Oreochromis niloticus: one gene and its partners. The protein of the gene in region 3 binds, or shares a complex with, the protein of the main gene of each other region. Links are inferred from orthologs where the notes say so. Each region holds a gene or a part of one and is shown on either strand. Other genes may lie near its edges.

Evidence for each region.
Region 1: snrnp40 (region 3) and lsm8 share a complex: the UniProt entries of both Homo sapiens proteins name them as parts of the U4/U6-U5 tri-snRNP complex. The link is inferred for Oreochromis niloticus from reciprocal best matches to the Homo sapiens genes SNRNP40 and LSM8.
Region 2: snrnp40 (region 3) and smx5 share a complex: the UniProt entries of both Homo sapiens proteins name them as parts of the U4/U6-U5 tri-snRNP complex. The link is inferred for Oreochromis niloticus from reciprocal best matches to the Homo sapiens genes SNRNP40 and LSM2.
Region 4: snrnp40 (region 3) and cwc27 share a complex: the UniProt entries of both Homo sapiens proteins name them as parts of the minor spliceosome. The link is inferred for Oreochromis niloticus from reciprocal best matches to the Homo sapiens genes SNRNP40 and CWC27.

What each region holds. Positions count from the first base shown.
Region 1 is NC_031981.2:20,046,510-20,053,065, reverse strand, and holds lsm8 (LSM8 homolog, U6 small nuclear RNA associated), read right to left. Parts: upstream 2,697-6,556; 5' UTR 2,509-2,696; coding exon 2,478-2,508; intron 1,911-2,477; coding exon 1,870-1,910; intron 1,527-1,869; coding exon 1,399-1,526; intron 876-1,398; coding exon 785-875; 3' UTR 504-784; downstream 1-503. UniProt on the Homo sapiens protein: Plays a role in pre-mRNA splicing as component of the U4/U6-U5 tri-snRNP complex that is involved in spliceosome assembly, and as component of the precatalytic spliceosome (spliceosome B complex).
Region 2 is NC_031986.2:32,801,980-32,809,377, reverse strand, and holds smx5 (smx5), read right to left. Parts: upstream 3,010-7,398; 5' UTR 2,892-3,009; coding exon 2,889-2,891; intron 2,704-2,888; coding exon 2,636-2,703; intron 1,471-2,635; coding exon 1,440-1,470; intron 1,344-1,439; coding exon 1,284-1,343; intron 549-1,283; coding exon 423-548; 3' UTR 87-422; downstream 1-86. Other genes in the region: inpp5d (phosphatidylinositol 3,4,5-trisphosphate 5-phosphatase 1), read right to left, coding at 5,065-5,096, 5,191-5,615, 5,744-5,941. UniProt on the Homo sapiens protein: Plays a role in pre-mRNA splicing as component of the U4/U6-U5 tri-snRNP complex that is involved in spliceosome assembly, and as component of the precatalytic spliceosome (spliceosome B complex).
Region 3 is NC_031985.2:22,356,158-22,364,094, forward strand, and holds the start of snrnp40 (U5 small nuclear ribonucleoprotein 40 kDa protein), read left to right. Parts: upstream 1-4,937; 5' UTR 4,938-5,058; coding exon 5,059-5,169; intron 5,170-7,937. Other genes in the region: zcchc17 (zinc finger CCHC domain-containing protein 17), read right to left, coding at 335-505, 775-911, 1,028-1,128, 1,215-1,306, 1,530-1,630, 3,333-3,471. UniProt on the Homo sapiens protein: Required for pre-mRNA splicing as component of the activated spliceosome. Component of the U5 small nuclear ribonucleoprotein (snRNP) complex and the U4/U6-U5 tri-snRNP complex, building blocks of the spliceosome.
Region 4 is NC_031972.2:12,013,609-12,021,443, forward strand, and holds the start of cwc27 (spliceosome-associated protein CWC27 homolog), read right to left. Parts: upstream 3,015-7,835; 5' UTR 2,628-3,014; coding exon 2,586-2,627; intron 2,458-2,585; coding exon 2,361-2,457; intron 1,899-2,360; coding exon 1,786-1,898; intron 1,675-1,785; coding exon 1,531-1,674; intron 1,369-1,530; coding exon 1,270-1,368; intron 1,182-1,269; coding exon 1,078-1,181; intron 1-1,077. Other genes in the region: ppwd1 (peptidylprolyl isomerase domain and WD repeat-containing protein 1), read left to right, coding at 3,265-3,397, 3,515-3,617, 4,479-4,582, 4,739-4,859, 4,979-5,426, 5,512-5,702, 5,893-6,082, 6,170-6,351 and 2 more. UniProt on the Homo sapiens protein: As part of the spliceosome, plays a role in pre-mRNA splicing. Probable inactive PPIase with no peptidyl-prolyl cis-trans isomerase activity. As a component of the minor spliceosome, involved in the splicing of U12-type introns in pre-mRNAs.

The DNA of each region.
Region 1 (6,556 bases), on a different chromosome or scaffold from region 3:
AGCAGCTTTCACATTGTTCCTACAGGCAGATTAAACTTGTTACCTCAGTTTATCTGGTCTTCAGGTGATTTTATCCAGCTGTTTTTAACCATTAAGCTTTCCTCGCCATGGCCCTCACGTAAAACTTCAGTATTTATCGATCTGTCACTTCATTGATATCAGTGTTACTCACACCTTTAGTGTTCGCGCCATCTTTCCACCATCTATTTCCTCCCCGCTCTCAGACGTGTGACTGATGTAAGGATTCATTTAGAATTGTCATGTTATTGCTGGCTCTGCAGATCTTTCATTTAAATAAAAATCGCTTCTTGAAGAACTGAATCTTGGTTGTGGCATATTTTATCTCAGAAGCTATTCGATTTTTCTCCTTTTCTTCTCAAATTTAAGAATCTAATTTCTTTCTCATAAAGTTTTCACTTTTTCCTCTGATCAATATCCTCTGACTAAAAAATATAATTTGTCAAACATTTTTGTTGAGTAAACAAACAACAAAAACGCTTTTCTTTTTCAGAACACAACAAATTAAACTTTATTTATTAACAGTCTCACATTGACAAAAAGACTTAGGAGCATAAAAAAGTTCCTCTAACATTTTCATCATCTCACTTCTTTATTTATAAAAAGTACAAACAGAAAACAAGAGCCAGGAGTCAGAGACAGGAAGCAGGCGAGCAAGTTATCAGGACGCTCCGGCTCATCCCGGATAATTAGCACACCTGCTCCTAAAACAGACTCCCATAAACTTTATTCACACAACAGTTACGCTATCATCAGGGGTCAAAGGTCAGTGAACGACAGAGTTGAGCGGCTCAGCTCTGATGTTTCCTAAATCCAGAGTGGAGTCCGTCTCCTCATCGATCTCCCCGATCACCGCTCTGTAACCAAAACAAGAAAAAGTGCAACCAAGAAAACAAACGAGGGGATTACAAACAAAAACAAACAAGAAGAACAAATAAAATATGAAAGGAAAACAATAAACAATGATAAACAAATTACATAACAGAACTGTTAACAATATTTAAACATTACATTACATTAAAATAAAACAATGTAACGAATCTATCTATCTATCTATCTATCTATCTATGTAGGTATGGATCCCCACACATCATTTTCCTCCTTGTTTAAGAATAAGAGTCTTTCTCTTGGTTTTCCTTCATAAAAATAATTTTAAACAAACAAACAAACAAACAAAAACAAAACTCTGATAGGGGAGTTTTTTCTTAACTCCTAATTATTAATTACCCCATTTTGCAATAACAAATTATATCTTAATAAAATAATAAAATTGGTAAACCATGTTAATCTGATTTTGTAGATTAAAATTCACATTAAGGCCTTACTAATTTGTTATCTTCAGTATTGATTCATCATCAACAAAGGTCAAACGTGACTTACACATTGTCGCCTCGGACAATGTAGAGTCCCAGCACCACCTGCTCGACCCCCTGACTGGAGCTGAACACTCGCTCATGACTCTCATCCAGGATCAGGTTGATGGTCTGATCAAAGCCCTTCAGAGTGCCCTGAAAAAACAAACTGACATGAATCAATGAGGACACGACTTACAATAACAATAACTTACAATCCAAAATAATTCTGACTTCAGTGAATCCTGATTATTGTGAGTGGTGAAGTTCTGCAGGGCCCACTGCTGTTTAAAATATAAATGAATAACGACTTTAATGCTTTCATTGCTTCCAGGTGCACTTGCTTGTGTATGACACGATTTTAAACACACCAGGCTCTGACCAGTCTTCGGTATGCATTTGTCTCCAATATAATTTAAGAATTGATTAAAAGTTTTTTTTAAAGTGATTTTGATCCCGGGTGATCGTCCAGTAAAGGTAAGGATGTGTTCAGACTCACCACAATCATCCTGCCGTCCGAGGTGACAATGGCCACGGTACCTGGATCAGCACGAGTTAAAGAAACAGCACCTTTATGGACCAAAACCTCTCTAATATTATTCAGAACGTACAAATAAGAACAATTATCATAACACCAAAATTGAAAGCTATGCCGCCCACCCATTCTGTCCACAAGAGGCGCTTGTAACCTTAGCTTCTGTCTGTTAATGAGCTCCAGCTTTAAAACTGTAAGTTGCATGCTTCCAAAATTTAAAAAAAAGAAGAGTTTACAGTTTTTCAAAGTGGTCCAGATGTGATGAGTCCTGATGTGTATGTGTGATCTTAACATGAATCAAACTGTGAAATCATTTACAGAACTTCTCTGATCAGCGGGTCCACATAATACAAACACGGCAATAAAATCCCGAGATTTCCCTCATTTTAAATGTGAAATCTACATTTAAGAAGTCTGAACATGTTTTAACTCAGCTCTGAACAACCCGTTTCTCACAGACATCTCTGAACTGCCGCTAATTAACAAAACAAGTAAGCATGCAGCTAAGCTAACTAGCATTTTTCCATTCATTCAGAGGGTTTGCACATTAGTGGCTAACGGCGGAAGGATACGGTTAATGTAGCTCTCCAACGCAGTGGACATCCTTTGTCCCGGGCTCGGTGTCTATTTATCCAGTGGGGTGGTCGATAAATACTTATAGTGGTAGTCCGGTGACAAAATAAAACCGTGCGCACTCGAACAGCAGCAGTAGCTAACGGCTAACAACACACTGGAGCGCAGACTAGAGCAATCAAACAGTGAGCAGGAACGACAGCAGAGCGCCGAGCGGAAGCGTCACATCCGGTTTGTGTTAGTTCTCAAAAAGAAAACACTAAAAACTGCAAAATTTAAAGAAATAAAAAAAGGTGGGAAAAAATGGGAAATGCAAAAGAAAAAAATGACAAATTTACTAGAAAACATGACAAGTTTATAAGAGAAAAGACACAAAATTATGATACAAATTGGTAAATTTATATGATAAACTATTCTTTTTGACTATTTCTTTAATGACTCTAAAACATCTGAGTTTATTTTCTCGCTTTTCACCCTATCCCTTAATTACTATCTTAAATGATTTTAAATATTTCTTTCCTTCCTATGCTCCATCATAGTTAAGAATCATTTCCTGTTTATTTCAATATATTTTCAGAGCCCTCAGATGCTTCTTTGAATAGTAAAAATATTTATGACTCTTCTGAAATATAAACAAATGTGATCCACAAACAAAATGGACACCGGACGTGATGTCATTTCCTATAACTAGAAAAAAACAAACAAGAAAATTGGTCATTGTTGTATAATTCCTTAAACAATTCTGAAAAACCTAAATTTTTTACAATGATGATTACCCTCAAAAATAATCATTGAAAAGTCCACGTGACAAAGAACATCCTGCACTGCTCTGTTAACTTACTACTAGAAAAGTTCTTTTTTTTTTTACTGTTATGTGGTTCTCACAGGAAAGGATGATTAAAAAATTATGATGATTTTTACCAATATAAGCCATTACCGTATTATTTAACTACCAAATACAATATTAAGCATTTAAAATTAGCTTAACATGGAATAAAACAGTTTTGAGATCTTTGGATAATTTAAGGAAATCTAGTTAATACTCTCTAAATGCATAACTATTACGTACACTTTAATGTAATTTTGAAAAATTAAAATAGTGGTAACCATGAGTGGTAAGATGTATTTGAGGAATTTTCAGCACAGGATAGACAGGCAGGTCATCAAATTTGCTTTTCTTTCTGTCAAAGACATAAAATGAAATATGTATTAAGAAAAAAAAAATCAAACTTGTGAGTGTTGATGTCAGACAACACACAGAGTCCAGTTCTCCCAGCAGGTCTTCATCTTTATTGTTGCTCAGTAATCGTCCATACAAAGGCGGGTGGAGGAGAGCAGTGGAGCCCGACAGGACAAACAACAGGAACGTCATGCTACCAAAGTATTAAATTTGTACAAAAATACTTTACAACATCCCTGTTCCTTTAAAGAAAAATACAGTTTGGTTGGTTGGTGAAGCTACATGGAAACTAATCTGACCCACTATTTCAAATGGCAGTGCAATGCACGTGTGTGTGTGTGTTAGTGTGTGTGTGTGTGTGGTTGTAGGTGGGTGGATGTCTTGCTGAGGTGAATCACTAGAGTGCAAATCCCTGCAATGTTACACACATACACACACACACACCCACACACACTCACACATACAGGCTCTAACAAATACACACCCACACACATGGTAATGTTAATACATGCGCACAAACACAGTGTGTATGGCTTTAGGTCTCACTCATCAAACCCTTGTGAAGCCACACCCCTCAGCCCTGTGGCTTGTTCCCATTGGTGGAGCAGTTCTCTTGGCTGAACCTTAAAACACTAACATCTACGTGTTAGCCCTGAATTCAAGGCATTAGCTCTGTATTAGCAATGTGAACCATTTCCTTAGACCTTGTTAGGTCTCTTTAATCAACCTGTAGCTACTACCTCGCCTAAATGCTAGCCGCAAGCTAAATTATAGTTCATGTTACTCATGTGCTAACATAAACCACAAATCAGTAGAGGCTGACATAAAACTGACATACTCTCTTGTTAGCAGACATTTTTAGCTCCTTGCTCTTATGTTTACCTACAAACCAACCAAGCCCTTGCTATGTTAAGTTGTAACCACACTAGTAAATAAGTGTTGAAAAATTGTACAGCTAACTTACCATCCATGTACTATGTGCAACTAGCCACATGTTATAGTTATGTTAGCTCTAATGCTCTGCATCAACTACCACATGCTAAACTGTAGTTCTATTATCTCCCATGTTAGCTTTTTGCTAACAAGAGAAAAACTTTGTTTTGCAAATGTAAGCCCTATGTTAAAGGTCTGTAAGGGCTGTGCTGGTACTAGCCGTGTGCTAACATAAAAACTTTAGCTTTGGATAGCTCTTTATTCATATGCTAATTAAATTATTTTTATGCTTATTAACTAATAAATATAGCAAGAAATGGGTGTTACATATAGAAAGCCTAATTTTCTTGTTCTATGTGTATAGTCATGTGTTATGGTTAGACTAGCCCTATGCTCAGTGTCTGCTAGATACATACTAATCATATGTTAGTAATGTCCTCAGACCAAGTTAGGCTGCTCACTTGTCAGTTGAATTTGATGTGTGGTATACTGCTTTTGCTAAAATTAGAAACCGTAACTTAGTACTAACCATAAGCTATATTATAGCTCTGTTATCAACATGTAAGTTATGCATTAACATAAGCCAAAAATCAGTAAGAGATTTTCAATGAAGCTAAAATACCCTTATGTTAGCATTGTCTGTATTACGTAAACCCTGTGTTCAGCATCTGCTGGTCATATGCTAAAATGTATTTCTATTATCTGTTATGTTAGCCTAATGCAAATAAGAAAAAAGTCTTTATTTAACACATTAGCCTGATTTTAACAATGGGCACGAGCTGTGCTTAACTGTGTCCTGACATACAATAGGATGTTACGATAAATGTTAGCCTTGGCTAGCTGTTTAAATATATGCCAACCAAGTTCTTTCTTTGTGATTAGCCAATAAACATAATAATAAATGGATATCAAACACAACCAGCCTATGGTCCTTGTGTTATGTCTGTTATGATTACGCTAGCCCTTTGTTCAGTGTCTGCTAGCCATATGATAGTTATGTCCTTAGATCAAGTTAGCCTACTCAGGTGTCAGTGGAATACCACCAATAGAGCTGTTTCAGCCTTTTTATAGTCAAGATGCTAAAAGACATTCTTTAGCTCTACAGCTAACCATACCTTAGTGAAGTGCAAGGTTTGTGCTAACAATACACAGACTGTGCTGGTACTGGGCTAGCTGTGTGCTAACATAAAAAAATGTTGGCTAAATTTTATCTTTGGTTAGCGGTTTTTACCCATGTGCTTACAAGTCTCTTGCTATGTTTATTAGCTAGTAAACATAGTTAGGATAGTAGTTCCCTTGTACTGTGTATATAATTATGGTTACACTAGCCCTGTGCTCTGCGTCTGCTAGCTTAATGCTAACTACATACTAGCCATTTGCTTGCAAAAAAAAAAAACCCATCTGAGCATTTAGAAAATTTTGGGTAGAACAGAACAGCCAATGACAACTATCCACATAGAAACAGCCAATCAGAACGCTCTAATCCAAAGCACAGCAGCAACTATTGGACTGTTTGGCTCAGGGATGCTGAGGGAGGGTTCTGATTGGCCACTATAAATAGTGAGTTAAGACTAAGGTGAGAGCAGGAAGATGTTGACATCACTCGAAAATAAACACTCACTCACTCTCTCTCAGACACACACACACACACACACACACACAAGTGTTTACCGTCACAGGTTTCCTGTTTTAACAGGATTTTTTTCTTTTGTAACATAGTTTTTGTGATTATGAGATGGTGTTTTCAGGGTTTGATGGTTTTTGATGTGAACAGCGATGGGGACTGAACTTTTTTTTTTTTAAATCTATTTTACATATTTTCTGGTTCAGTCACCATGGAAACAAACAAACAAACAGAATTGACAACAGTCAATCAAAAAAACACACCAATTGATTAGCATAAGAGATCACTGTCACTGGGGCTGGGGATGGGGAGGGGAAGTCGGGGTAGGGGCATGCGTGGCT
Region 2 (7,398 bases), on a different chromosome or scaffold from region 3:
CAGTTCTTCAACAGCAAACCCCAAATCCTCCAACATGTCACCAAGATCATCCTAAAATAATTAATAAATCACAAACGTCATGAAAATATAAATAAAATAATGTTTATTTCCAAGAGGCATAAAAAAAGCCACAATTTGATAAGCAAAGTGTGCCTGTTATCATCAACATGAACATCACAGCAGGTTTCCTCTCTGGACTCTCTGATTAGTTTACTTCTATATAAAACCAAAAAAAGGGATCAAACGACGACGTCCAAACCGTCTTTGAGGTTAAAAAAAACAAAAACTGCTAATGACTGATCCCCAATGTCAAAGACACATTTTCAGAGACAAAGAGAGGCTGCACAAACTTAACCCAAAACCAGAACTACCCATTCATTGTTCTCCTTACCCCCCCACCCCCACCCCGCCCCGCAGCCCCGTCACTGCTTCTGCTGCATGGCTTCTTTCCGTGCAGCGTCCTGCAGCAGCTGAGTGTCCACTTCATCTGCCGGCAGCTGAACGTAACGGACCACCGATCCACGGATGAAGCAGTTTTTCACAGACAGCTGCAGCAAATGAAAACAGTCAGTGTGAAGACAGACAGCCGTCACTCTGTGCTGGAGCTGCTGGTGAGCTTTAAGGAGTGCACATCCAAGGACTTTCCTAATGACTGAACTCGTTTCTGATTTTATGCAACTTTTAAATAAGGAGCTAAAGTTTATAGTTATATTCTTGATGTTGTATTATAAAAATATCCAACTTTTCTTTTTCCTCTTGACCTCAATAAAAACTGAGCAGCAGCAAATGGAGCTCACATACAAGATGAAAACAAAGACTGAAATCTTGAAAGCTTTATGTGTTATAATACATGAAAAACATAATCAATGTAAAAGATATTTATGTAAACATATCTGTATATAAACTCGGGAGGAGCTGTTGTCTGTGTGTCTTTTTTGGGGGATAATTGAGCCCCTAAATATTTATCATGCATCATTCTGTGTGGAAAACAGAAGTCCTGCGTGCACTCTCACCGCTGGAATATTTATCTAATCAAAAGGTTCATCAGGTAGAAGGGCGACATTTCTACATTCTCACATACAGCAGCAGAGAATTTAGTTTCTTTTACTGGTTGTACAGACCTCTGTAGCAGAACCTTAAACCTTGTAAGTACACTGCAACAGCTCTTTTTTCTGTACATTGTAAAACTGTAAACACCTGTTTAGCAGCGACAGCCTCATCTGTTTCTTTAGTCTTTTTTTCCCCTGTATTAAATGTGGAAAGTCTCCAGAAGCAAAACTTACCATGTGTGGATATTTCTCCGGGTCTGTGACGCTGATGTCTGTGAGCTTAATGTTCAGGTACTGAAAGCGATGTGAAAACGGCATTTTAGTGAGCAATCATGCAGAAATGTAAAAGCTGAACAGCTTCCGTTTTAAAACAAATGAATTATTTCCAACCTGGTCAACAGAATGAAGCGTTCCACAGATGCTGAGGAGAGAAACACACATTCATGAACATGACTCTGTTCACAAATACAAACCAAAATTGCTCAATTAATCTTTAGATTATGAGGCTTGGGAACAGCTCATCAGTATTTGGGTGGAATTTACGGTCAGGTGTGCCCAGGTAAAGCAAACGCAACTTCTGAGGTTTTCTTTCTGACCTCAGGATTTCCATGCCACTTATTGATTAATTTATGGATATTTAAACATTTATTTCCACAGGTCTGGGTGGTGAAACAATAAGAATTATCACCAAAATATAATATTTTTAATACATCTATGTTTTGTCCACATCTGCAGTTACTTGCACATATTTTAGAAGCTGTTCTGGAAACGACAGGCATTAGCACAAACCTGTTGTTACATTTTAAAACCGTCACTACTGACAAGCATCAAGACCCTGCTCCAGAGTTTAACCCCGAGACGGGAACAGTTTGACTTAAAGAAAATCTTATTGTAGTTTGTTTGATCTACTCCGTCTATGACATATAAAAGTTGAATTAATCTTAAAACAAATGTAATTATGCGGCTGTGACCTGACAGGCTGCAACCTGGATTCATAATCTTGCTTTAAGCTACATTTAGTCCAGTTTCAATTGAAGTCACTTCAGATTTTATTGAGAAAAACAAAACAAAACACATCTCCAGCAAGAAGTCAACCACGACAATCATTTCATCAGTCATCAGTGTGACCAGTTACAAGAAATAAAACTGTTTCATGCAGATTAGTTCCATTTAAACAGTGACAGCTACAGTAATACGTAATAAATATTTCAGTGCTGAGCTCATAATGAAGACCCAGAGCCCACTGATCGCTGTCTAAGGCCTTTCACTGAACAACCACAGAGTAAAACACACAGGAAATGTTGTTGGCTTGACTTTCTGATAATGTGTATGATTGAGAGTCATCTGTTTGTGTTGGATTATTCTTGCAGAATCCAATAAAACGGAACTAAAGCTGAGAAGTATTAAAAACTGCTGCAATGAAATGAAGTGAAATTCAAATGAAAACTAATAAAAATTAATATTCAAATTGTGACTGTGGGAGCGCTGCTGCGTCTATCAACAAAGCTCCAAACAGCGATCGCCGACCAAACAACACAGGCCGGAAAACGGCAGGTTATGTGAGCGAATTGAACACGAATACTAACCTCAGGTCATTTTTGAGCTCCACCACGACGTCCTTCCCCACCAGCGACTTGAAAAACGAGTAAAAAAGCTGCGGAGCAGAAACACATGCTAACGTTAGCTGCACGGTTAGCGTTGCGGCCGGTTTCTTTTAAAGCTGACAGAATTAAGGTCACAGAGACACACCGAGGTGTGCCCGGGTCAGAGGCTCTCTCCGGCCGTACGTATCTGCTATAAACTCTACAGAAAAGTCATAATTTCATCGTGATTCCTTACCATTCTTACTGCTGCCCTCTCCTAGCCGCGCGTCGCCTGTCGATGACGTAACAACCCCTTAATATTTCTGAGACACACCAGGGTGTAATTACTAAAGTTCGCCACACAGAGGCGACAGAGCTAAGCTCAACGTTCATGTATGGGAAACGTTGCTTGCACAGGTGTTTATCTAATTGACTTAATTTTATTGTGATTTCAAAAAAATAAATAAATAAATAAAAACTTCATATGAAAATATATTTCAATAAAATAAAATAAAATATAATTTAAAGAGACAATAATAAAAAAAGCTTAACACTGTCAGTTGACATTAAAAAAAATTGCTTATGGAAAATACAAACTCTTTTTTTCTGGTGCAACCAAAGACTAAATAAATATGCAGTAACTGTCTGTAATTGAAAACAAAAATTCAATTACAAAGTGACAATGACAAAGTTCAAAGAAAAATACAAAATACATTTTGAAAAAACAAATTTACAGAAATGTAATTACAGGGACTACGGTGGCAGCTGTCTTTGCATTGTGCATTTTTTTTCTGCTACATAAACTAAATAAATATAATTTAAAAGTCATTTTTATTAGAAAGTTCATGTTTTGTTTTGGGTTTTTTAAATTAAGGACCCACACCCTCTCCTAGAAGAAGTCATTTGAAACGTTGGATGCATTTATTATAAACTTCCAACATATAACATGAAAGGTAAGGAAAACCTTCTAATTCTCAAATACTCAGGGTGGAAAACACAGCAACCGCTGGTGTTATATCAGTCATATTTTAAAGTCAACATATGTGTAAAATATATGCAGTGGAGTACATTCACACACTTGGACTTCATCAAAGACTTTGCTCTTCTCTCCTCAGCCAGTTCCAGAAGAGTTACCAACTAAACCAACAGAACTGGCTCGGCTGTTAGCCTCAACATCAACACCAAGAAAACACAGCCAATGTACACCAACACGTCTTCAACCATGTCTATAACTATTGGTGACCTGATGAAAGTTTCGTGTCTTTTGACTGTCTTCCCCAAATATGCAGCATCTTCCAGCCAAACAAATACTCAAACATGGAGCTGCACAGAAGAACTGGGGTGTGTAAACATGTGTCATGAAATAAAGATGAGGAGCTTTAAGGTGTGTAGAACATGTAGTAAGCATGACCCTTTGATGGAAAGAGGAAGAAAGGCAAACGAGAGATGAGTGTGCTGGCTGAGCTACAATAGCCGGGTCTCTCATGGGAACAGGAGCAAAAGCAGAGGCACAAAAGCGAGATGGGTGGAGGTTACAGGCTGCAGCCTTACAACAATGAAGAGGCGTAGCAGTAGAAGCAGTTTGTAGTGAAAGTGCACATCAGGAACTGTGCCACCTCACCTTTTTAGTCACAGCTGATTAAAGAGAAAATGTAGATGTATTTCCAGTAACACCAAGCTAGAAAGGCCCCTTCTCAGACTGCCTGCAGTTCCTTTACGGACCAGCAGATGGAGGCAAATCACTGCAGTGTGACCGGTCTGGTCTTCGCAGCAGATTGCAGCGGCCAACACTCCAAGTTTTAAAAGCAGTCATTTGTGACTTGACATAAAAAAGACATGCACACACACACACAAAACATGTAATTCAAGCTTTAATATTGGAATTCATTGGAGCATCATTTGTACATATTAAAGGCAAACATGTCTGTGCAAGATAATACTGTGCGGTAAACATTCATCAGCTACTGTATAGTGTAAAAACTCCAAATGAAATGTAACAGTTATTTTAGAAGCAGGTTCCAGGTTCAAACTTACGTTCCAATGTGAGCTTTGCAGAAGTCCGAGAAACTAAAAAATGAGTTTACATACATTTGAAGGCTGAGTTAGACACTGGTACGCCCATTTAATGTCTCACTAGCACTTAGATAAGTAGATAACTAAGCTAACTACAAGCCAGTTAGCTTAGCTTAGCATAAAGACTGGAAATAAAGAGGAACTGCTAGCCCGGCTCAGTCTAACTTAAAAAGTGAGTTTTTGAGGATGACAGGCAGATGAATTTTTTAGACCTTTGGACAGGTGCAAAGCTAAGCCAACTGACTGCTCTATAATGACAGCACAGATATGTGATTGTCCTCTAAAATGAGTGACACCAGTAGCAAGGGGTTTTAAAAAATATTTCCAGGAATGCAGCCAGGAAGGTGTACCTCTCAGTCTCACTTCACAGGGCGACCGATCTTGGAAACGTCTGGATGCACAAAAAAAGACAAAGAGATGTCATTTAGTGTATTATAGCTGTCTGGAAACCTGAGGATGTTCCTTGCTGTCTTTGCAAGACTCACCAGGTCTTCCTGGTGGTCTCTGTTTGCTGGTGAGCTCTGAGGTGTCTCTGTAGTCTCTTGGTTTGGGGGTCTGGGGCTCCGGCACACCCGGTCGGGACTTAGCAGGCAAAGGAGGCCGGCTTTGGCCCATCCCGCCTTCTGAGCGTGAGGGCACCACTGGTTTCTTTTGTGATGGGGGATGCAGGCTGACTGGTGTTGGAGGCTGAGGTTTATTCTCAGAGCAGGTGAAGGAGCGGTTGCGTGGGGTGGGCACTGGAGGGCGATCGGTATCTCCGTCTGCTGTTTTGGAGGATCCAAATAGCACATCTGGGGGTATGAGATGGTCCTTCTGTTGTTGGTCTTGGTCTTTAGACCGACCATGTGATTTGGTCACTGAACCATACAACGGGTTGTCAAACATCTCTGATGTCTTTCCGTTCTCACCCCTGTCAGAGAAATCATCGGTTAATGACATTGGTTTCCCTTTCTATAGAATCAGATCAGATAAAGGTTTGGAGGTATTTTTAGAAATGAAACTGAAGTCTCTTCAAACCAGAAAGAGGCTCACACTTACACAGAAGCAGGCTTTCCCGTGGGGCTGCGTGTGCTCACATCGTAACCCTTCTTTGGCTCTTTTCCTGCTTGTCCCCCAGAGGTAACATTTCGCGGTGGCATGCTGTAACTCCAGCCTTTATCTATCACATTCCCGCCTCTGAATGACACTCCCATGTAATTGGGGTTAGAAATATCATGTGGTTGGTTGCTAGAAAACCTGTCAACCAGAACAAAGAAGAAAAAAAAGAAAGAAAAATCACGCCCTGGGTAGTTTTGATGGTCCAAACCAGCAATCAAAATTAATCAGGCAACAGAAAAACTTGAATTGCAGTCTCATAGCTGCGATTTATGCCACCAGCATGACAATGGATTGTCTTGCTTCTCTTAACTTTGATTCATCTTCTCTCCAGAGTATACTCCATCTCTCCAGCATCTCTTCCACCTGCTCCCAGCTCTCACTAAAGATCGCAGTCTCATCTGCAAACATCGCGTATACAACGACCGCCTGACCTCATCTGTCAACCTCTCCATAAACACTGCAAAGAAGAAGGGGCTCAGAGCTGATCTCTGATGTAATCCCACCCCCACCATGAACCCATCAGTGCCACAGTTCCTGTCTTGGCATCCTATCATCAGCCTATCATATTCTCTGATCCGCAAAGGCACAGTGCAGCTCGCCCTGACCTTCTCCATACTTCTCCATCAACATCTTAAAACAAACATCCCATCTGTAGAGCTCTGTCTCAGCCTCTTTTCTTAACTAGCTTCAACAGCTTTCTTATCTTCATGGTATGCCACATCATCTTTATCCCCCTGTAGTCAGAGCTCTGCACGTCACCCTTGTTCTTGAAAATTGGTGCTGGCTAACCTTTTCTCCCTTCCTCGGTCATTCTCTCACTTTGCAGGATGATGTGAAACAATCTGGTGAGAAAGTCCCCTGCCCTCCATCTTCATACCTTCACAGCTATGTCATCGGGACCAGATGGATTTCTTTGTGCTTCATAGCTGCTCTCACTAATGCTCTGCACTTCTTGATTTACCAGCTTTGATCCATCTGCCCTCCTCTCTCTCATGTTTTACAACAATCAGCTCCTTCCATCTTCTCAACACACTCTTTTCATCTGTTAGTATATCTATCCATCTCTGCCTAGCCAATTTATACAAGTCCTTTTGCCCTTCCTTCATGTCCAGACTCATACACACTCACTATAAGCCTTTGCCACCTCTCTCTTTTCTTATCCTCCCTTCTTATACTCCTGTCGACTTTCTTCATCTCCCTGACTTCACAACATTTTTTTCTTTGCTAACCTCTTCATTTGAATACTTTCCTGTACTTCCTCATTCCACCACCATGTCTCCTAGTCCGCTTTCTTCTATCCAAAGGATACGTCCAACACCTTCCTGGAAGTTTCCCTCACTACTTCTTCATTACTCTACTTTTCCAGTCATTTGTAACCCTTCCCTACCACCCAGAGCCCGTCTCAACTGCAGCCTGAACTCTATGCATCATTCTTTCTTCTTCAACTTCCACCATTTAATCCCTAGCCCTGTCTTCACTCATTTCCTCTTCTTGATTTCCAAAGTCATCCTACAGCCACCCATCAGATGCTTGTGAGAAAACAGCAACATATGATGTCCCATACATCGCAAAGATTCAAAAGTATTAAAAATGGA
Region 3 (7,937 bases):
TGTGTGTCTCTCTTCTTCTTTTTTACGCTCTCGCTTGTGTTTAATGGATTTCCCAGAGCATCAGATCCTGAACAGCTGTAAACAATATTGGGGTTTTGGAAAGGGATAGCCACTTGCCGCCATATCGATTGCACCTATCTGATTACACCGTGTGTGCAGACTCCTCCCTTTATGGAGGGGATAACTTCAGGACAAGTGGAGGTTATCACATGTTTATATTTACAGCGCTTCCCTTCAAGTTTTGAACTTGACAGATAGTGAATGAAGGTTTAGATATTAAAGCTGGAAGTCTTTCTCTCAGTCTGCTGCCAACCACTTTCCCCCTGTGTGTGTCTCAGCTGTGTTTGTGCGATTTGTGCTTTTTGTGTCTCTTCTTCTTCTTGTCGTCTCTGTCACGCTCATGTTCTTGTCGCCTCCTCTTGGATTTACATTCACTGCTGCTGCTGCTGTCGCTCTCAGACTCCTTCCTCTCCCTCTTCTTACTCTTCTTCTTTGCTTTCTTTTCCTGGAGAATAAGCGTTAAAAACAAAGAAGTTGCACAAAAAAGCAGTTTCAATACCTAAAAACCCAAACACTGAAGTATGTTCCTCTTAAATCAGCACAAAATCATTTTTCCAGGCAACAGACTTCCAATGTGGTCACAACAGCATGTCATGCAGAGAGACATGTGGGGGTTGTTGCATCAGATGAAAGAGAAAGAGAGAATCAGCAAAGGAAAGTTAGAGCGGAAAAGGAAGCGAGAGCTGTGCAGGGCTTTAAAGGTCACATCGTCACCTTCTTTTTCTTCTTTTTGTCTGAATCTTGATTTTGTGCAGCTGTAGATGGTTGCTGCTCTGGCTCTTTATCGTCCTCTTCAGGCAAGAGAGCGTACTGCAGGCCAGGAGCAGAGAAACAGTCCTTTGTAAAGTGACCTGAAGAGAGTAATAATTTATTTAAGAACCGCGGTGTGAATTCAAGCAAATCAGCCATCTGTGTGAAACAAGCACAGTCTCTTTGACACATCACACTACTCATGATGTCACCTCACCCTTGCAGCCGCACTTTGAACACGTTGTGTTGAGCACAGCCTCCAGCGTGATCCTGTTGCTGGTTTGGTCTCTAAACTGCTTACGCCGCCTTGAATCCTGCCTATAAACACACACAGAGACGTTAACAACACACACACACCTGTGCAGACACATGAAAACACACAAAATGAATCCGTAAGCACTTACTCTGCCATAACATTGTTGGGGTCCAAGTCCCGCCCTGTTCCCTGATTGACGGCTTTCATGGAGAAAGACAGCTTCACCTTGTCACCCTGAATCTAATGAGCAGAGGAAGAAGCTGTAAACTTTCTGCTCAGTGTGTGTACTTCTGTGACTATCTTTATGAGAACCAGGTTGTATTTGAGACCACTGGAGTGGCAGTTTCTGACACCCTTTCATGTTTAAGGGTAAAGACGGGCTTTTAATGTAGCCTTTCTGGGGTTTGAAGCTGAAGAATACCTTCATTTAATGAATGTTGTCCAAAACGTGTGATATTGTTACCTCTCTCCCTATGACTTTAATCCACACATGTTCTCCCACATCCACAATTTCTGAAGCGCTCTCAACCCGGGAAGCTGACATCTCACTCACATGTACCAGACCTGTGAAAACAAAGGACAAAGCTCATTTACTTAGATATCACCTAAAATACATTTATAGTTTCAAAAGTCTTAAGCAAACCCTCATGTCTTTATATTTGGAACCAGACTTTCTTTCGTAATTTTTAAAACGGTCAAGAGCAACAGTTCTTCAGCCCTTTCTGAAGGCCAAATGCCACATTACACAAGAAGTGGATTGAAAATCAGTTGCAACAGGTCTTATTGAGTTATGAATCCAAAATTATTATTATTTTTTTTTGCTCATATCGTTGTCAGTATGTACAGAGGAGGTCATGAGAGAAGTACAAGAGTGTCTACAGCCATCTGTAAAACATGATACCAATGCAGCAAAAGCACACCTAGATAGGAAAACTTATAATGCAACACCATCAGTCATGGATTAGCCTCCCATGAGCTCAGATTTCAGCATTATTGAAACAGTGTGGGATCATCTTTACAGAGAATGGAACAAACAGCAGCCAACATCCAAAGAAGGACTTTGAATGTCCTTCAAAAAGCCTGGAGAACTATTCCTGAAGACTACCTAAAGAAATTACAAGAAAGTTAGGTAAGAGAGTTAAGGCTGTTTTGAAATATAAACGTGGTTATAACAAATATTAACTTTTGAGCTCATTAGAATACAAACTCTGTATTTCCATTCATGTTTGCACAGGTTTGAATAAATCACTGCACCCATTTTTCTCTTTCCCAGCAAAATATAAAGAAATAAGGAGTGCCTCAAGACTTTTGTACAGCACTTTATGGTCAGCATTAATGACCTACAGAAAAGGTTGACACATGAATACGTGTTGGATGACAAATGAAAACCCAAATACTAAATTAAGAATCAAACTTATTTCCGGCTGTTATCAAGCTTCAAAAACATTTGACCAACTAAATCATATAACTGTGGCTTAATCATTACATCTACTTCAAACCACTTTAACTGACTCACTTCAAAGGGAGTGTAATTTAAATGAAGCAAACAAGTTCTGTCCAAAACATTTTTTTAGGCTACAGGTTATTAAAGTGTGAGCACAAGTTGTTCAGTTCGCCCTCCAGTGGTGAAAATGAACAGCTGCTGTTTAACTGGACATGTAGGTCAAGGCCAAGCCACAATAAATCATACTTCATTATCAAAGAGGTAACCCAAGTGTAAATATAGATACGAGTCATCCCACTTCATCAACGTGTCCCACTTCTTATCAACCCCGCCCAAACCCATCCTCCCACACCTCCTGTCTGTACACACACATCTTCAATTTCTGTTGCTATGAAGATAACACAAATGAATTATAATAGAAGAAACTATGATTGTACTAATAAACCAAAAAGAAAAAAAAAGATTTAAACATAACAACAATGTGAAATGTCTTACTTTGACCTGTGTCTTTGAAGTCTTCCGGCCTTGTCTTCTTACTCACAGTGAGACAGTACACTAATTCAATTCAATTCAATTCAATTCAATTTTATTTATATAGCACCAAATCATACCAGCAGTCACCTCAAGGTACTTTGTATTGTGAAGTAAAGACGCTACAATAATAGACAGAAACCCCAATAATCAAATGACACATTAAGAGCAAGCATTTGGCACCAGTGGGAAGAAATCCCCAGCAGAGATCTCCAGACAAAACAACACTTTTTTTTTTTTCTTTCTCCTTTAACCTATTTTTCATCTGAATAATCAAATGTTTTCACTGACCTTCCTTCCTGTATCCTGGCAGTCGGACAAATGCTCCATAAGTTTGCACTGAAACCACCTCTCCTTTGGCAATGCTGTACAGTGGTGGCAAACCATCCAGCCCAGCCGGCTCTGATGTTCGGCGGTCACGGTCGGACATCGTCTCAAAACAGCCACGGTTACCAATAACTGAATCTTGCACTTGGATTCCCACAATCCCTGAAATGGCAGATCAGGTGCATTTATGATCTCTGTTTTAATCTTAGTGAGTTTAAACTCTGTTCGCTCAGAATAAACTAATTCTAATTTTCCAAAAGTTGAATCTGTTCATCTGGACGTAGCGTTTTGTGGGAGAAACGTTTCGTCACTCATCCAAGTGACTTCTTCAGTCTCAGCTGACCTGCAAACAAATTCTAATTTGTTTATTTGTAGGTCACATTCTTACATGGCGGGTACTTTTGCATTGTATTTGAATTTATACATCAGTTTTCTAGTCTTTATGACCACTTTAAACTACAAGCACGCTTTAACTATACATTCATGCAGCACTTTTAAGCACTTTATTCACCTCACAACCACAGCCAATTTAGAATCACATAACATGTATGTCTTTGGAGTGTGGCCAGAAGCCCAAGTACCTAGAGGAAACTTGACACCAAAAGGCCACTGCCAGGTTCTTTCCTGGTGTAAAGGCAACGGTTCTCACTACCCCATGATGATGGCATCCTATTTCAGATCTTGTGTCTGTGCCAAGGCACCCTCTGACCTCTGTATGACCTCAATATATGAATACTTCTATGCCGATTTATTATTCCATGAATGGAATGTACCATTTTAAAATTCCCTAAAACCAACATTTTCTGTTATTTAAACCACACTGGTGGATCTAAAATCCATCTGAATAGATACGACCTAGAACAGCCTCATTGTACAACACTATGAATTTTTAAACATTTTCATTTTCGTGTATTTTGGGTCACTTTAGGAAAAGTCATGAAATTTCATGCTAAAACAAAGACATATTTTTTTTTACTGAAGTCAAATGTCAACACAGTTCATTTGACCCTAACAGTATTCAAAGGCTAAATCTAAAAAGAGATTTTATTATGTGCACTGATTATTTTACCCCCACTTTAAACTCGCATGCTGACTTGCTATTCAGCCGTGTCATATTTTTGTACCTGAAAGTGATTTTTATGAGCTTCACAGCTGTGTTGAATCTCTTGGATAGCAATAAAAACCTATTAGACTCACTTTTTATCTCAAACACAAAAACTGAATGGAACAGCAGCTCCTCGGCTAATGTTAGCCACACTAAAGAGCTATAATAAATGAATAAACAGATATTGAATAAATAAAATATGAACAAGAAAATAGGCCCGCGCCTGCTTAACGTTCTAGTTTATACAAATAAATAAACATAACGTCATGCAGCAATAATTTAAGAGAAAATAATTTAAAAATGATATCAGCGTTACCTTTCGGATTGATACGATGGTTATTTTACATCCGGTTCAAAACGTTTCAACAACAAGCGAAGCGGCTAATCTGCTGCTCACAATCAGCCAATCATCTTAGCCTTTGCAAACCTCGACCAATAGTATTCCTCGCACTCACAGGAAGTACTTCTTCTGTGTTGATACGTTGGTGCTACTTCCTCCGACGTCTCGTATGAAAGACGTCCATTCATTTTTTGTAAATTGTAGCATTAAAGCTTTAGATTTTTGCGGATTTTTGTCCTGTAAAGATGATTGAGCCTATGAAGAGAGCGGCAGACATGGCGGTGGTTCCTTCCGCCGTGAAGCGGCCCCGGACGGAGCTGATAGCGGCGGCGCAGTCTCAGCAACTCGTGGCCACGGTACGGAGGGTAGCTGTTACTACAACCGAGAGGGGTGGCTACTGAAGTAGACTCAAACATTTAGAACAAGTAACCACACTATACTGTGTACGCTTTATGATTAATTATATATAAAGCCGCTTGGAAAAAAGTCACATTTTCCCTTTGTGGTGATTTTAGATTCATTATCTGGGCTGCCAGCGAGACAGATAAACATGAAAATAAAATTAGCACAGCATTAGCGCTCACTTTGATGCTTTTTACAATGTCTCCTACACCCAGCTGGATTTGGGTAAACTATTGTTGTTTAAAAAGAGTTTTTAAAGTGATCACAAAACATGTTCTTTTGTATTCTGGTTTAATGTTTTATCTTTTAAGGATAGAAACCCTCTCAGCACCATTGATAACACCAGCTCCAAAATAATGGGGGTCAGGCAAAGAGATTTGTGTTCACACTGAGAAACTCGGGTGATAAAGAAAGTAAAAGACATTATTAACTATCTTGACCACCATTTCTATTCTGAATTCAGGAAGTTACTCCCAGGTAACCCCTACTTTATATGTCAGTGTAGAACAAATAGATACTTAAAGTCTTTTATTCCTTTGGCTGTTAAATCACTTAACTCTGACATTTCGACTATTCAAGATGGGGCTAGGATTATGTCAGAGTTCGGCTCTGAACCCCTTTCTCGTTTGCAGTCTTGATGGACAGGCTGAAAGATGAGGCCAGGCAGGAGTCTCAGTAGACTATGATGTCTGCAGCCGATCTGTAGTGAGAGGAGGGAGCAGGGCGAAGACAGCCTGGTGAGGTGGAAGTATGTGGTGGAGAGAAGAGGAATGAAAGTCAGAAGACACAAAACAGAACACGTGTGTGAATGAGAGGGAGACACATCAAATTCCAGTCTGATGGGAGGTGTAACAGTGAAGGTATATGAGTTTACATAAATGGAATCAAACATCCAAAGCAACGCAAAGCATTAGAGAGGGGAAGAAGAGAGTGCAGCCAGGATGGAGTCGATGGATTGTGGAAGAACAGCAGCAGGAGGAAAAGGGAAGATGGCAATGAGACCTGCTGTATGTATGGTTTGGATGGTAGATGATGGCACTGAGAAATTGAAAACGCTCAGATTTACATTGGGAAGGACCAGAATGGACAATATTAAAGATGGTTGCATCAGAGGGACATTGCAGATTGAGTGGTTAGAGAGGGAGCTGAGATGGTTTGGACATGTGCAGAGGAGGGATAGTGGACACAATGAACAAAGGATGTTGAAGATGGAGGAAATAAGGAAGACCTCAGAGAAGATTCACTGATGTAGTGAAGGATGTCATGCAGAGGGTTGGTGTGACAGAGGAGGATGCTTGGGATGGAGTGAGATGGAGGCAGATGATCTTTGCAGATCGTCTTTATTCGCATTAAAACACCGGCATTGCATTAAATATGACCTTGACATTTGTTTTTGAGACTATTATAAAAAAAAAACAACACTTTGACCCACTTTCACAGTCCATATCTGATTTTATAATAAATTATAAATACAAGCTAAAAATGTCCAGTATGATTAAACCGGATAAGTTACCTGAATATTTATAAACAAGATATTCAAACCTTTAATCGTCTGCCTCCAGATGTATCAGTTCTTTCTCCAGTGCTTCTACCCTCCCAGGTCACCTGCCAGGACGCGTTTCTATACCAACAGCTGCCTTTGCATCCCGGCTTTTGTTCCCACAAAGAAAACTGATCAGGAATCAAGAAAGAATTGATAACGGTAGCCTCTCCGATACTATTTTTTTAGAACGAGGATGTAGACAGGGGTGTCCAGCAAGCCCTTACCTCTTCAACTTGTTTATCGAACCTCTAGCCCAGGCTATACGTCAGGAAACATCGTTGAAAGGGATTGTAATAGGAGGGGACGAGTACAAGGTGTGTTTATACGCAGATGATGTCTTGGTAACAATCACGGATCCCAGCTCAGGTATACCAGTATTAATGGGGATGTTGGAAACATATGGCCTGTATTCAGGGTATGTTCTTAATGTCAAAAAAACTCAAGTTCTGACATTTAATTTTTCTCCAGACCAGACATTATTGTCAAAATTCAAGTTTAATTGGAAGGCAACTGCTATCAAATATTTAGGAGTGTTTCTGCCTAAAGATCTAACACAACTGTATGATATTAATTACAGTCGTATTAATAGAGAAATATATAGCGATCTCAACATTTGGGCCTTGCTCCCTCTTGACCTTGGCAACAGGATACAGATAATTAAAATGAGTATTCTTCCCAAACTACTCTATCTTTTCCTTGCTTTACCTATTCAAATTCCAGAGAAGCAGTTCAGGGAATGGAATAAACAGATTTCGAGATTCATTTGGCTTAACAAAAGACCAAGGGTGAAGTTCTCTACTTTGCAGTTGCCGAAAGAAAAAGGGGGCTTGGCTCTACCTTCATTAAGGGATTACTACTTATCTGCTCAGCTGAGGTCTTTGGTGTGTTGGTGTAATCCATCTTTTTGTGCGAGGTGGAAGGCGATTGAGATGTCTCTTTCGGACACGCCAATCCAGTCTAGACTTGGTCACACAGCTTCTGAATTGGACGGTACCTTGACGCCCAGCCAATGGGTCACTTTTACATTAAAAATATGGAGGGGAGTGGTCAAGCAGGCACAACTACAGGAAGAGATAAAACTTCTGAGGTGGCCAGCGTATGACCCTGATTTTTTACCTGCTTCCCACGATAGTAGATTTAAACAATGGGTGTGCCATGGAATTACTGCTAGGTGTTCGG
Region 4 (7,835 bases), on a different chromosome or scaffold from region 3:
TAACAGCACATACACCAATCAGGCATTATAGCCAACTGCCTAATATTTTGTTGGTCCCTCTGTGTTGGCCCCTGACTTCACAAGACTCCTGAAGGTGTGCTATGGTATCTGGCACAAAGATGCAAGCAACAGATCCTTTAAGTAGAATTTGGATGCCAAGTCAACACTTAAAAAATCATTGTTGCGCCTGTTGTCCTCAAACCATTGCTGAAAAATGAAAGAGGCCTGATGGTAGGTACAGGTAAATGATGCACATCCACATAATTCATCAGACCAGGCCACCTTCTTCCACTGCTCTGTAGTTCAATACTGATGCTTGGTACTTTCTGTGGTGGACAGGGGTCAGCATGGGCATGCTAACTGGACTGTGCCTATGCATACACAACAATGTAATGTACTGTGTATTCTGATTCTATCAGAAACAGCAATACATTTTTGGCAGTTTGAGCTACAGTATCTAGATTGTTGGATTGAAACACGGGCCAAATGTCCCTCCCCAGGCGCCTCAACGAGCCTTGGCCGCCAATGACACTGACCACTGCATATCTTTCCTGCTTATAACATCAATTGGGGGAAAAAGTTAATTTTCTGTCTAACATATCTCACCTACTAACATGTGCCATGATGAAGAGATAATCAGTGTGACCACCAGTGACCAGTATGAGAAGCATAAACAGCAGCTACAGTGGACACTTTCATTGTTTTTAAACACTCGATTTCACTTCAGAATAACTTTGTGGTCTATGACCTCTGTAGTCTTCTGGTAGGTGCTAAGCTAAAGGAGCAACAACACCGGGGGTAGCTAAAAAAGTTGGCATATAGAATGGGTTGCCTTAAAGGTTTAACCTGTTTTACATAGATGATGAAGTATAGACCAAGGCTCAGTATAAGACTCAGTATAAGACAAATGAGTACTGTGAATCATACAAAGCTACTCTAGTAAAGTACAAGAAAATATCTATATATAGATAAGGAAATGAGCATAATATATTCCCTTATGTACAAAAATGCAGGTGCTCCTGGGTACAGTCTTGATCTTGTTTCAATCAGAAAGACAGATGAAGGCCGAGCACTCACTTTGTGGCTTTTGACTGTGATTTCTTCGTCTCTTCTTTATCCTTTTCCTTTTTGAGTTTCTTTATTTCACGAGGTATGATGTCATCAAACGGAGAATGTAACACCTAGGAGAGACAAAAAGAAAAGCTTAAATTACAGAAGCTAGATACTAAACATATTGCTGAGCAGGTAAAATAGAATGAACTAAAATACCTCAGCAGATTTGATCTTGTGAGGATTCAGAGGTCTTTCCTCACCATCACACTCAACTTCTGCTAATCTGAGCATATTATACACGGTGTCTCCAGTGACCTGGAGTGGGGATTGCAGAAAATAGAAATGGTCAGGCACACTCTTATCACATCCTGCCTGGGGAAAATGGCACTCATCTTGGTATATTCATATATTCATTGAAGACAGCATTCATTCATGAATACAGATAGAAAATAAGTCATCATGTTCTTACAGCTTTACCTTGCCAAATATGGTATGTTTATTGTTGAGTTCATCTGCACGTCCCAAGGTGAGAAAAAACTGACTGCCATTGTCATGTGGCCCTGCATTTGCCATGGCAACCAAACCCCTCCGATTGAAGCGCAACCTAGAGTGAAACTCATCCTGAAAGGCGACAGAAAGTTTAGAAGACATTGTATTTTAGTGTCACCTGCACATAGGAATTAGAAATCCACTTCAGAATTAAAAATAAAATGAGAAGAAAAGCATTCTCACCTTGAACGGTCGGCCATAGATGGACTCTCCACCTGCCCCTGTCCCAGTAGGATCTCCCCCCTGAACGATGAAATCAGGCACCACTCTGTGGAACACTGTACCATCATAATAACCTAGAAGATCAAGACATACTGTATACTAAAAAACAATAAGGCAACAACAGTTCCCTACTAACAATCAAGAAATCTGAGCCAACAAGGACATTTAAATAAAGACAGTGCTCAGCTGAATATAGGTTCTGGGATTTAAAAAAAAGTCTTATGTACACTGACAGCAGCCATTTCTCTGCTTACAAGTGAACAAAAAAAAAAAAAAACGACTGCTAACATTTAAGAAATATATAAGTAACTATGTCTAAGACTCAAAATTTCTTCACATTTTAGTCCATCAATAATCTTCAAAATAAGATAAAAAATATAACACTTACACGCATCATGGCCTAATACTTAAAGAGGCTAGTTTTACCAAACCAATATATTTTAAGGGCACGCCTGGAATAATTCGGCCTAATTTAGCGCAAACTGAATTTGAGGTTATTCTCCAGTGGTTTCTGCACTTCCTTAGTGAATTCTTACCTTCCATGCACAGCTGCACGAAGTTCCTGCATGCTTTAGGAGCCTCCTTGGACCACAACTCAATGTCAATATCACCTGCTGTTGTCTTTAACAGGACCTGCGAAAAGACCACGAAATTATACATTCAGAGCTAAACAGTGTTAGGAGTGGCTAGCTATTGGTACCTACAAATCCGCAATATTATGCACGAAAAACCTAAAGTTCAAATTGTAAACTGGCGCTTACCTTCCCATTTGTTGGTGGCTCTTGAATGTAAATGTTGCTCATCCTGCCGCTACGTTTCTGTGTTTTGTTAGCAGAATAAAAAATATATTCTCACACGATCTGAACTTTAGGTTCCTCGAATATACAGATAGTAAAGTTTGTTACAGTAGGTAACTTTAAATGTGATACATTTCACATTTCACTCTTTACAGCCATATTGGCAATACATGAGTTGATTGTTTACTTCCGAGAACATAGGGGTTTCGGTTTAATTATTGATTTTCTGTTCCGTTTTTTTCAAAGAACATCACTTAATTTGTTTTTTTTTCTGTTTTCATAAAATACATAAAAAACTTTTATTCGCACGTGAATCAAACTCCGAGAGTTTTGATGACAAAACAATCCAAAACAAGCTCGGTACTTCACCCCGAGAAACAGATTTTTGGATCGCTCCTAGTGCGCTATCACAACTGCCCCCTGGAAACAACAAGTTCCGTGTAATTACAGCGTAATCTCATTAATCCTAATAATTATGTGTTCTTGAGAAAAAGTGAGACACATAACATGTTGTTTATAATTAATAATTGTAGAATTTTAGCAACTTGTACTTGAAACAAAAACAACTACACAAAAAATCTGAGATTTAGGCGCTGAACGGAAGTACCGTATTTACGGAAGGACCACACGGGCGATCACGGCAATGGCGGCTACTGAAAAGAATGTGGAACTGAAGCGCAAAGTAGATGATGATCATGATGGGGATGGGGACGAAGAAGATGCCGAGTGGGTTGGACCCATGCCAAGCGAAGCCACAAAGGCAAAGAAAAGAAAAGGTGGGATTCTGGGTGTTCATTCGGCACACTGGCAGCTTTTTGCGACTGCTCTCTAATCACTGCTAATAAAGCGCCAAACGCCGTCCGTTAACTTCTGTGTGTATTTGTTTCTCTCAGTACTCGAGTACGAGCGTGTCTATCTGGACAACCTCCCGTCGGCTGCAATGTATGAACGGAGCTATATGCACAGGGACGTCATCACACACTTAGTTTGTACAAAGTAAGTCAGCAGCTACAAGGAAACTTTCCTTTATATGTGTGAGAAAGCTTTTCCACTTTACAGCACTACTCACTTACATCCAGCTTATTAAACCACCTTAATAAAAGCGATCCAATGTTAAAATGCCTAAACTATCAATTATTAGTATTACCAGTATACCTCATATTCCAGGACTGTCTTTGTGCTGATCCATTGTTAGCATTCATGTTTGTCCCAAAGTAATATGTAAAAAAAAAAGTCAACCTAAAATGGTGACGTTTATGATACCATCACCTGGGAAATCTAAACGAAGCAACAGAATTTAGTAGTTCTTTTATTTAAGAGTGGGCAGCCGTTTTAATAATTATTATTGATGTATTTTCTATCATTCCTGTGACAAGTCATGCCAATTTCCTGCAGCTTACTGTTTATAGAGGAACCTTGCAGGCTGTATTACATGTTATTAGTTGGTTGTGTTTGTTCATTGTTTGTTTGAAAAGCCACTGAGTGCTGTATCTGTAATAACAATGAAGTTCCATCAGCTCATATAAGCTGTGTTGTTTGCTGTTGACCTGTGAGCGTGTAAGAGGACATTTTATCATCAGCAATGGCTAACATTTATCTGTTGGGTCTCATCACTTTTAGCCTGAAAGTGTATTATTGTATTATTATCTGTTTCCCTGGCATAAATTGAATGACAAAACCCCCCAAAACAAAACAGGCAAACAAAGAAAAACTTTGATGCATCCATATTCGCAATCCTGATTTTTAAAATTTTCTCTTTACTTCAAATAAAGATTGTCTAACTCCATCAGTAGATGGGATGTGGATAGGAAAAGTAGGCTGAAGCTGAAATAACGCCATAACATTGTGCTGTTTCAGGACAGACTTCATCATCACTGCCAGCCAGGATGGCCATGTCAAATTTTGGAAGAAGAAGGAGGACGAGGGGATAGAGTTTGTCAAACACTTTCGAAGTCATCTCGGTATGAACTTAATTCGTGATAACTTCTTTTTAACAATCGGAGTGGCACTGGACTGAGAGGGGGTTATGGAGACCCGGTGCATTGTATGTTATAATATAACGTGTCTTTAATGAGTGAAAAGGATGTGTATAAACACTGTTCTTGCTTTTTGCCCAGGTGTAATAGAAAGCATTGCGGTCAGTGCGGAAGGGGCCCTTTTCTGTTCGGTTGGTGATGATCAGGCCATGAAAGTATTTGACGTGGTCAATTTTGACATGATCAATATGCTGAAGTTGGGGTGAGTCTAAATGAAAATTTTCTTGCTAGACACAATAATGTTTTTACTGCTGATAGATTTGGAGTGCAAGTTCTCCTTTAATTTGATTGGTTTCTCTACTGTGATCTGTCTGTATGTAGCTTTCATCCAGGCCAGTCTGAGTGGATCTATAATCCTGGAGATGCCATCTGCACAGTAGCCTGCTCAGAAAAGTCCACAGGGAAGATCTTCATCTATGATGGCAGGGGAGGCAATGACCCCTTCCATGTCTTTGACAAAATGCACTCCGCACCGCTTTCCCAAATCCGCCTGAATCCCAAGTTTCGAGTCATTGTGTCTGCTGACAAAGCGGGAATGCTGGAGTACTGGACGGGCCTTCCAAATGAATTCAAGTTCCCCAAACATGTGGATTGGGAATACAAAACGGACACTGACTTGTATGAATTTGCAAAACACAAAACCTATCCCACCAGCCTTGCCTTTTCCCCCGATGGGAAGAAGATGGCCACCATCGCTTCTGATAGGAAAGTCAGAATCTTCCGATTCCTAACAGGAAAACTAATGCGAGTGTTTGATGAATCATTAACGGTAACCTGCCATTCACCTTTCAGCCTGGATCATTGCTAGCGTTATGAATTTTGCACGCTAATCACAGCTGCTATATGTGTGTTAGATGTTCACAGAGCTGCAGCAGATGAGACAGCAGCTTCCTGACATGGAGTTTGGGAGGCGGATGGCTGTGGAGAGAGAACTGGAGAAGGTGGATGGTATCCGGTTGACAAACATCATCTTTGATGAGACTGGCCACTTTGTTCTGTATGGGACCATGCTGGGCATCAAGGTCATCAATGTGGAAACCAACAGGTATGCTCACAAATGAAGGTGGAGACTAAATCACAGTTGTGTTTCGTAATAAAATAATGTTTAAGAGATGTAAATGAGTATTTTAATTGTAGTATACAAACTGATGAAATCAAAAGTGATAACGTCACCACTTCACATGCAGAGTTATATAGACATATAACTCCCGAGCCCTGTGTTTCTTGTTTTCTAGATGTGTGCGGATCCTTGGGAAGCTAGAGAACATCCGTGTGGTTCAGCTGAGTTTGTTCCAGGGTGTTGCAAAGGCCATGCAAGTGGCACCCACTGTGGAGATGAAAGCTTCTGACAACCCTGCCTTACAGAACGTAGAGCCTGACCCAACCATCTTCTGTAGTGCTTTTAAGAAGAACCGCTTTTACTTGGTGAGACAGAAAGGCATTCATTTCAAAGTGACAGTGCTACATTTTTTTCCCTTCTTACTATAAGTTTTTTGTCGTCTCTTTTTGAAGTTTTCGAAGAGAGAACCAGAGGATACCAAGAGCGCCGATTCGGACAGAGACATCTTTAACGAGAAGCCCTCAAAGGAAGAGGTGATGGCCGCCACGCAGGCCGAGGGCCCCAAGAGAGTGTCTGACAGTGCCATCATCCACACCACTATGGGAGACATCCACATCAAGCTTTTCCCTGTGGAGTAAGTCCTCAGTGTGAATGCTTTTGGCTCCTCCTTTCATTTTAGAAGACAGAAACAGAACTTTTCCTCTCTTTGATTTTAGATGCCCCAAAACTGTGGAGAACTTCTGCGTCCACAGCAGGAATGGATACTACAATGGCCACATATTTCACAGAGTGATCAAGGTACGTTGTCCTTTTTCTTTATGAAGCTTGGCGATCAACTGTGTGATTCCGGCTCTGAGTGTTTGTCTCTTTGTCGTTGACAGGGCTTCATGATTCAGACTGGAGACCCCACAGGAACAGGCATGGGAGGAGAGAGCATCTGGGGAGGGGAGTTTGAAGACGAGTTCCACGCCACGCTGAGACACGACCGCCCATACACACTTAGCATGGCAAACGCAGGCCCCGGCACCAATGGCTCACAGTTTTTTGTCACCGTGGTACCCACTGTAAGTAGCCCAACTAAAACCACTTTCAGACCTGTATTTTATCATTGTGTGAATAAGATTTCAATTTACTTTTCTGAAAAAGTACGACAGCTACATGTAAGATGGTGACATTACCATTTCAAACTTATAATTAGAATTATGGTAAAAAGAAGATTGTATAAAGTACACCCTTTATTGGGTCTAAGATTTTATTTATCAGGTCATAATAAAAATAATTTAGGTAATTGGGTAAATTAGATCAATACAACCTCAGACGAATAACAAAATATGACATATGACACTGTCTCATATTCATTTAACAAATCTCAGGACTTATGGTCATAATGCACTGTGTCAGGTTTGGTGAAACCAAATGGCATGGCAACACAAACCGCTCACATCAGCTCCTAAACATGGAATTGGTGGGGCGATGGTTAGACTTGGGCATCTTTCAGCCATTGACTTGACTGTGAACTTCTGTGTAAACCAAAGTTATTTTAGAGTCAGATGTGAAGCCATCTGTCTGACAGCTAAAGTGAAAGTGAGTTGTGCAACAGGCAAATGATCCCAAGCACAGTGGCAAACCTACTACCTACTTCTGACTGGAAAAGAAAACAATCAAGGTGTTCCATGGCCCACCCAAAGTCCACACCTCAACCTGCTTGAAATGTTGAAAGGTTGTATTTACCGAAGTGCTCATAACACCTAGATAATGTTTTATTACATCTTGATATGTAAAACCTTAAAAATTACTGTGCACTTTCCTTTCACCATAACTACAGATGAAGTCATTTTTTATTTATATTAACACATCGTTTGCGATACAGCAGAAAATGCACGATTCAGCAAAGTCTGGTGTCGTTCCTGGAACAGCATCAGTGTCAACAATCTTGTAATGCTGCATGTAATTGACCAAGCACAGTGTTGGGTTTCATTCCCTTTCTGTGTAACATGGCAACAGTAAACATGAATACTGTCAGGCACTCAGAGTGTAATGGAAGCCTACACAGACCTGGTGCATCAGGTGTGTGTAGGTTAAGACCTGCACATATCAGGTGTGTAAATTCTTTCTTCA